Linked DNA regions of Daphnia pulex. Each later gene encodes a partner of the first gene's protein in a complex. Links are inferred from orthologs where the notes say so. Each region holds a gene or a part of one and is shown on either strand. Other genes may lie near its edges.

Evidence for each region.
Region 2: the proteins of neurogenic locus Notch protein-like (region 1) and E3 ubiquitin-protein ligase Su(dx)-like are in contact, whole or in part, in an NMR structure (PDB 2JMF), measured with the Drosophila melanogaster proteins. The link is inferred for Daphnia pulex from reciprocal best matches to the Drosophila melanogaster genes N and Su(dx). Residues at the interface, in NP_001245510.1 of Drosophila melanogaster: Lys2323, Gln2324, Pro2326, Tyr2328, Glu2329, Asp2330, Lys2333; in NP_001259898.1 of Drosophila melanogaster: Glu528, Arg530, Thr532, Ala533, Ala534, Glu536, Phe538, Val540, His542, Arg545, Thr547.

The regions. Positions count from the first base shown.
Region 1 is NC_060028.1:5,082,052-5,086,603, reverse strand, and holds the start of neurogenic locus Notch protein-like, read left to right. Parts: upstream 1-1,487; 5' UTR 1,488-1,763; coding exon 1,764-1,836; intron 1,837-2,462; coding exon 2,463-2,541; intron 2,542-2,921; coding exon 2,922-3,392; intron 3,393-3,834; coding exon 3,835-3,968; intron 3,969-4,461; coding exon 4,462-4,552. UniProt on the Drosophila melanogaster protein: Essential signaling protein which has a major role in many developmental processes. Functions as a receptor for membrane-bound ligands Delta and Serrate to regulate cell-fate determination.
Region 2 is NC_060026.1:2,738,122-2,741,402, reverse strand, and holds the end of E3 ubiquitin-protein ligase Su(dx)-like, read right to left. Parts: coding exon 3,143-3,281; intron 3,034-3,142; coding exon 2,874-3,033; intron 2,749-2,873; coding exon 2,474-2,748; intron 2,399-2,473; coding exon 2,173-2,398; intron 2,087-2,172; coding exon 1,990-2,086; intron 1,637-1,989; coding exon 1,464-1,636; 3' UTR 785-1,463; downstream 1-784.

The DNA.
Region 1 (4,552 bases):
AACGGTTGCGCTCCACACGACTGGAGAAATAGGTTGGATCGATTTATCACGAAGCGAATTTTCCTTTTCTTTTTTAGAGGCCTAGAAACGAGTTTTTTTTTTTTATTCCGTTCCCACGGATAACCATTTCACCCCTCTCCATTTGATCGTTTGATTCAATTCCCCCCTACTTTTTGTGATCCGTTTGAGTGGTTTACATGTGCAACAGTTGCTGCCAATCTGTCGCAACTACCCCACCACCACTTGTGGTGAAGGGGGTTTGGTCACGTGACCATCGATAGAGCATTGAGTTGATTGTTTGGGTTTTACGCTCGAGGAATACGAACAAGTCAATGCAGGAACAAGTTGGTTTAGTTCTAAGTTTGGGTATCTCGTTAACCCTTTTATCCCAACGGGAAAGACCTGATGATTTTCGTGTCTAACTGCACGGTAGATGATGAGAACCAATCAGCGCGGATCGAATGTAAAATGGGGAAAAAAAAAGGAAATTTCGGTTCGAGGCGTATATGACACAAATAAAAATATGAATGATGCAGAGCCATAGGCAGAAGAAGAAATGAATATAAATATGATGAAAGGCGCATCACGCAATGGGTAGAACGCAGAAGATGATTCCGGCGGCGCCAGTTGAATGATCAATCACGGTCTACATGATGCGGCCTTCGGATTCCTGGAGCTTGATGATGATTGCCGGTCATCTAGTTTCTACCTTCTTTTTCCGTTTTTCGTATGGTGCATCAGACTGTTTCTTTCTCAATTGCATTATTTTTTTGTGGGCTCGACAACGAGCTGCTTTCGTGATGTAGCCCACTTTTACGGCTGATTATACCATGCGCGGAATGGCAGAAAAACAATGGACGGACATGTCAACTGGATGAGGAGCTTAAAGGCGTCACGATCCCAGTCAAAAACAAATCGACAGGTCCTTTTTCCAATCGGCTTCACTAAAAGGGAAAGTTGCTGGAAAGATTTGGACGATGTCACTTTTTCCCCTGTATGATGGATGGGGGGATATTTCATCCCTACGGAAATCAGACAATATAAAAATATATTTCTAGGCCTAGTATTCCTCTTGGGTCTTTTATGATCGGCCCCAAAATTCTTTGAGAAGCTCCCTTCTTTCGGCTTTAATTACTTTCTTCGGGGAATTCTATTCTACATGTTTGTGAAATAGAAGAAACCAAGTCATGAACTTGTTAGACTCGCAATCAAAGTTTCATCTAGAATATACCACAAATACAAATAACTCTGTGGTTGAGAAAAATCGTTATTATAGGCGACACGTTTGGCCGAGTGACAGAATACTGGAAGAAGAATAGGCGCAATTTCAATTTTGTTCTTGTGTATTATAATTTTTCTTCTCTGTGTGCAGCAAGAAAACCCGCGGAGATTGCAAGGAGAAAGGAAGAGAACAAGTCGGACTCTGATTGGTTGTCGGTGGTTTTGCCTCGAGGCCAGTTATTCTGATAGAGCGACTCCCTCCGGCCAGTCGAGAAGCGTCCGTTGAACGGGAAGGATGTACTGTGTCGCTGCTGCTTGAATTTCTTCCATTTTTCTCTGTGTGCATCTGAGTTTAACAAAAAATCTCTTTACTGGAAAAGTGTGTAAAAACAAGAGAAAAAGTGCATCACCATGACCCAGTGGCTGAAAGTGTTGGTGTTTTGAGTGATTTAATTTTTCATCTATTCAACACAAAGAGGGAGAGAAGAAAGAAAGAAACGTTAAGTGTGTGTGAGTCCCTGTTTTTGTTGCTGCCATTAAAAATGGGGACCGACCGCAGTGGATTACTGATGCTGTTGCTGGGCATTCTCGTCTTCTTCTCAGCTTCAGTTCAAGGTAACCTTGACGTTTTTGTCTCGAATATTCGTGTGGCTTAAAATTACCTCATGACGATTGTTTCATTAAAGGTAGGGGGGAGTCTGAAAAAAGTAGTTGGGATGACGGTTAGAGTTTTGTTGCATCTGCTCTTCTTTTCAAAAAAAGACGCCGGGCCCCGTAGGGCTTTACATTTCCCACGCATTTAAATCCCCCCTCCAACCGACGCTCTCATTGTCCTTCTCTCTCCCCCCCCCCCCCCCCCTCTCCGACCTGTTGATCGACGTTGCCGAGATCTCAGCAAATCATTTTATTTATTTTTTAAAATTAAAAAAAGAATATGGTGATGACCAACATATCCGGCGAATAAAGACATCGTGAGATGATTAAGTTTCAAGACATTTTCATCAGCCAAGACATTTTGGTGGTGTCACATAGCGTTAGGCCACATGTTATTTGATAGTCATGAGTTAATGATGTTAGACAATAGCGTCGTATGTCCATTGAATCGTATCCTCTATCAGGGCGGAAGTGCATGATAGTGGACCCGTTTCCGTTGCTCTTTTTGTGTGTGTGTATTATCATTCACTCAAATCAATAATAATAATTAACTGTAATTTTTTTTCTTTTTTTTTTATTTATTCCAGGATTCGTTTCGTGTTCGCCCAATCCCTGCAAGAATGGAGCGTCGTGCGTCTCCAACCCGCGCGGCGAGTCTTACTGCAGGTAACGTCCATTGTTGAAAGTCTACAGGGGAGATCTATCCCCCCCCCCCTCTCTCTCTCTCTCCAATGGTAGAGTCTCTCTCGCTCAGAAGCGTGGGAAACAAGCTGGTCTGCATAGTTTGGGCTATTGAAACCACCTACCGTCAGCCACCCTACCACCACCACCTTGTCCACTTTTTTTTTTTGTTCCATCCGGTTTGGGCCCGAGCTGCTCACGTACTGCCTCCAGCTCTTTTTCTTTGTCTGGTAGTGGAGGTGGTAGTAGAAGGGGGGGAACGTTGATTTTTTATTTTTGGGGATTATGCTTTGATACACATGGTCCAGTTGCTCCAATCACTTGTGAAACAAATGATTAACTCTTTTTATTTTTATTTTTTACAGCTGTCCGCCGCAATACGTGGGCGAGTACTGCCAATTTGCCAACCCCTGCCATACGGGACCCGGACCTCGGTGCCAAAATGGCGGCACTTGCGCCGTCAAAATGTCGACTAATGCCGTGCCCAGCTTCTCCTGTTCGTGTCCGCTGGGTTACTCGGCCTCGCTGTGCGAGATTCCCGTGCCCAACGCCTGCGACACTGGGCCGTGCCAACACGGCGGAACGTGTCTACTCCGCACGCTGGATAACTACACCTGCGCCTGCTCGTCGGGATTCCGCGGCGCCAAATGCGAAGCTGTCGACCACTGCGCCCTGCATCCGTGCAAAAACGGTGCCCAGTGCACGTCTTTGTCGGACTCTCACCGCTGCACTTGCGCTCCTGGATTCGCTGGCCCGACGTGCGCTGTGGACATTGACGAGTGTAAACGCAACCCGTGCATCCACGGTCGCTGTGTCAACACCCACGGATCATACAAGTGAGTCCAGTCGTATTGACTCTTGTCGTCAACCATCTGTTGATCTTTCTTGGCATCCTTATCTCGACGTCATGATTGTCAAATGATTACCAAGCTGACTCAACAAAGTTGTTGACGCCGACCAAAGAAAGTCCGAGGGGAAATTTTTTCGTCACATCTTTATTATTATCTTCTATTCAACATTTTTTTAAAAATGTAGTTTCCTTCCAAAAATATTAAAAGAGGACAAAAAAGAAATTAAATTTTTCAAGGCTTTCATTGTCGAGTTAGCGTGGGAACGGCCGAGGCGAAAACAAGTCCATTAAATCGCCGTGGTCAGTAGACACCAGATTGAATTTATTTGTACTTTCTCGTCACGTGTCTGTGTGTGTCTCGTCTCATGTTTGTATCATGCCGGGCGCTAATCATCCGTTTGTATCCGTTTACTTTTTTTATTTTCCAGATGTAACTGCCACACGGGTTATACTGGCCAGAATTGCGAAAATCAGTATGTGCCATGCAGTCCGTCTCCATGCCAGAATGGTGGTGCGTGCAAAGCCATCGATTCTCTCAACTACGAATGCCGTTGTCCGCCTGGTAAGTCTCATAAAATTTGATTGAACCTTTTATTCCTCTTCTTTCCGGTAAATTTATGACAACTGAAACGAATTGTTGGTCCCAACAACCAAAAAGAAACAACAACAACATTGAATCTGGTTAGAGTAGCCATAAAGTCATTGTCGGCTGTTAAAATGAAGTTTAAATCTAAAGTCATCAGATTTCGGATGTGCTTGGTTTCCATCGGTGGGAACATTCCCACACACACAAGAAAGCCAAAACTTGTTATACCCTCGGGGCAAACCTCGTCCATCCAGAGAGACTTGAATATAAATATCCGAGCCCCTCTCTCTCTCTCTCTCAAATCTCTCCAGGCTCTTTTATGTTCCGACCCCTCCACCTTTCTCTAAAAAAAAGAACACCTGGGCGATGACCAACAAAGAATTCTTTCCTGTCTACTTACAGCGTTGCCATTTTCCCTTTAACACGAATCTAATATTTCCCCCCTTTCTTCTGATTATCAAAATTCTAGGCTTTGCTGGTACCAATTGCCAAGAAAATGTCAACGACTGCCCCGGTCATTTATGCCAGAATGGAGCCACTTGCGTCGATGGCGTCAATTC
Region 2 (3,281 bases), on another chromosome or scaffold:
TCCTGCTCTTCATTCTCTTTCTCTCTCTCCCTGGAAACCAATCGATCGACCCCTCCCGCGTGAGCGTGCTTTATATTTGCTTAAAATTGATCCATTCCCCTCTTTACTTCTGTTGGGGGGTTGAAATATCTGTTTCGCAGACCTTCTAAATAAATTACGAAGCCTGGACTGCTATGCTGCACTGCACTCCTGCTCCATGGGAACCTGTGGGCAACTACTTTCGAATCAGGGCTGATCAAATACTCATGTGGGACTCGGTCAGTCAATGTAATGTTTGAAATGTGATTCAATATTTGAAGAACAAAAAACCTTGGGCTTTCCTGCGAAGAGAGTGGTAGCATTCAAAAGTCCTTCCAAATCATTTAGTCGGTCCAAATTGAAGACCCACTGTGTCATGGAGGTTTGTTTTTGTTTTCAAGCAAGAGTTGCATGTGAAATAGATCGCGTGATGCAGCCTAATGATAACTCAACTATGGCCAGTTTATAAGAAAGAAGATGAATCGACTTACGTGTTGCTCTCGCTACAGGCGGTGGCTGCGTAGATGAAACGGGGCCGTTAAGGGATATTTCAAATCTTCTAATAACATGGGGGCAGGAATCTGTAAACTGGTTGATCTCGAATCAGACACGCATCCTAGACCAATATCAGCGCGAAAATATACTCACGCCTGCTGCCAAACGATGCAGACGAATCTTTCCCAGTCCATCTGGCGGGAAAATTTCACTTTTCAATTCAACGCCACCTAACGTCAATGAACTCAACAACTCAATTCTTTTATTTCGCTTATAGTAGAAGTTTATTTTTATTTCATCCAGTGCGGTATGCAAAAAAAAAAAAAAAAATCAACAGAAATAGTACATCATTCAGAATGATAGAAAAATTGAACGGACAAAAAACACGTCCAGCGTCGCCTCGGCGGTTGGGGGTTATACATGACGGAAACGCGTGAAATAACACACACACCCTCGCTCCCACAAAGAACAAAAAAAAAAGTTAATAATAAACTCTATCGATTTTTTTTTGTTGGTTTTGTTGGGTTTTTTTCTTTTCGTTTTAAATCTAAGGGGGGGGGGATTGCTCACTTTTTAGTACGTAAACAATCAACATATTATTGTCAAAACACACAGACACTCACACGATTCTCACATTCGCGTCGAAAGTAACGTCGTTCAATTATTTTTTTTTTAACAAGAGATAGGCCGACGTCGACACGATATATTATAAGGAGAAGAAGAAGATGGGAGAAATATTTTATAGTATAAAGGGAGGATCGGGTTGGGGGGAGATATAGAGGGGCAGTAGGTAGAAAGGTACTAATGTGTGAAACAAAGAATAGTAGTGGCCTAATTATGCACAATCTATTGTACAGTTTTTTTATTTTTCTGTAAGGATAAAGGTCAGCCTATCTCCCCACTCGAAACATTTCGCTACCATACGATTTCATTTTCTGATATTTGTTTTATTATTCCTGACCGAAGCCTTCCGTTTCCTCGATGGCGAACGTCATCTTCTCCACAAGCTGCTCGTAACTCTTGTAGGGTGGCAAATCTAGCCGATTGAAGCAGGTGTGCGAGCGTGGCAGCCACGTCTCTTTGCCCACCTTCTCGATGCAGAATCGCTGGGGTCCATTGCTCCCTGAAAGGGAAAAAGAACAAAAAAAAAAAACAATTCAATGGTTGATTAAACAATAAAAAGTACCCAAAAAACAACTAGAGAAAAAAGGAGATCAACGAGCCGGAAAAGTGAACAATTCATTCCACCGCAAAGTTTTAGAGAGAGAATGAAAGAATGATGCGGATCGACAGATGGGCGCGTGGTTGTGGGTACGGTTTTGACGTAACCGCACACACAAGACAACACAGTCGGTTCACACCATAACGGGACGTCGCCGGAAGTGAAAGAACAACACAAGACAAAATCGAATCTGGACAACGAAATTGAAGGGGGAAAAGATAAAAGAAAGAAAGAGTGAGAAAAAATTGTCTTACCCATGAGCTCGGCGAATCCTCCGACGGGCACTTTGCACGTACCGCAGACGAACTGCAGTAAACGGGCCCTCTTCTCGTTGTCCATGGCGCGTACAAACTGTAATAATAACAACGCAAAGGGAGATTGAGATGAATCAAGAGAGCGGACACACCAAACAGTGGACTTTCAACCCAAATTAGTACCTGCCAGAACCATTGGACTTGCTTCGAGTTGCGGGTGTAGTGGCGGTAGACCGTGTTGCGCTGCCAGTCGTCGATGTCGATCTCCTGCATGCCGCAGAGCATCAGCTCCAGCTCGCGCTCGTCAAAGTAATGAAGCCATTCGAGCGGAACCACTTCGTTGAAGCCGTCCAAAAAGGCCTTCGTTTGCTCCTCAATGCCTCGGTTCATCCTCCAATCCGTCATCAATCTAAATCCAAGCCAATTCAATCCGGTTAATGAAATCAAAAAAGGGAAAAATCATTTCGAATTGGAAATGACTCACCGCAAGTATTCTTCCTTGTTTTCCTCGTTGACGCGAACGTTATCGCCGCCGGGCTTCAATTCGTGGTGAGTCAACTGTCCGAGGACCTCGAAATCGGCCGAAAAGTAAAGCTCCAATCCGCACTCTTCCAGATTGTTGTCCTTGACCCACAGGAGCGAATTGTAGAATTCCGGATCCACCGACTCGATGTCTTTGGTCGTCAGCTTCTTGTTCAGCATGCGCTTGTAGAACGGCAGCGTGAAAGCCGAGTAGATGAATCGTCCGTGATACAAAGCCTGTTGTCGTGTGCAAGGACACAAATAAAAAAACAAACAAAAAGAAAGGATCGTGAATGTCATTCCGGCCTCGATCGACCCAAATTCTGTAAAGCCGAAAGAGATTTGTCGGCCATCATCCATACCATGGCGATGAATCGACCGATAAACTTGAAATAGTGCAGGTGATCGGGATTGACGTGGGACGCCGGATTGATCTGAAGGCTGTAGTTATTCTTGTTGGCGTATTCAAAGAGGCAGTACATGGGATTTAGCACTTCGTGTGACAGCAAGAGAAACCATTCCCTGTCAAAACAAAAAAAAAATGAATAGAAAAATCAGTTTCCTCTTCAGTGTCCAATTAGCGCACACTTCAAGGGACGCAAAGGGGGTATTTAATTAATAATAATTTTACCTAGCCACTCCTCCGTAATCAAGGCCCTCCTCGCCGCGGAAAATGACGTACAGCCGCCTGCGGAGCTCGTAGGCGGGCAAGCGCATAATCTGATGGTGCGAATCTTCAAAGAGCGTCGACCGGTTGAGAGTGATCTTGA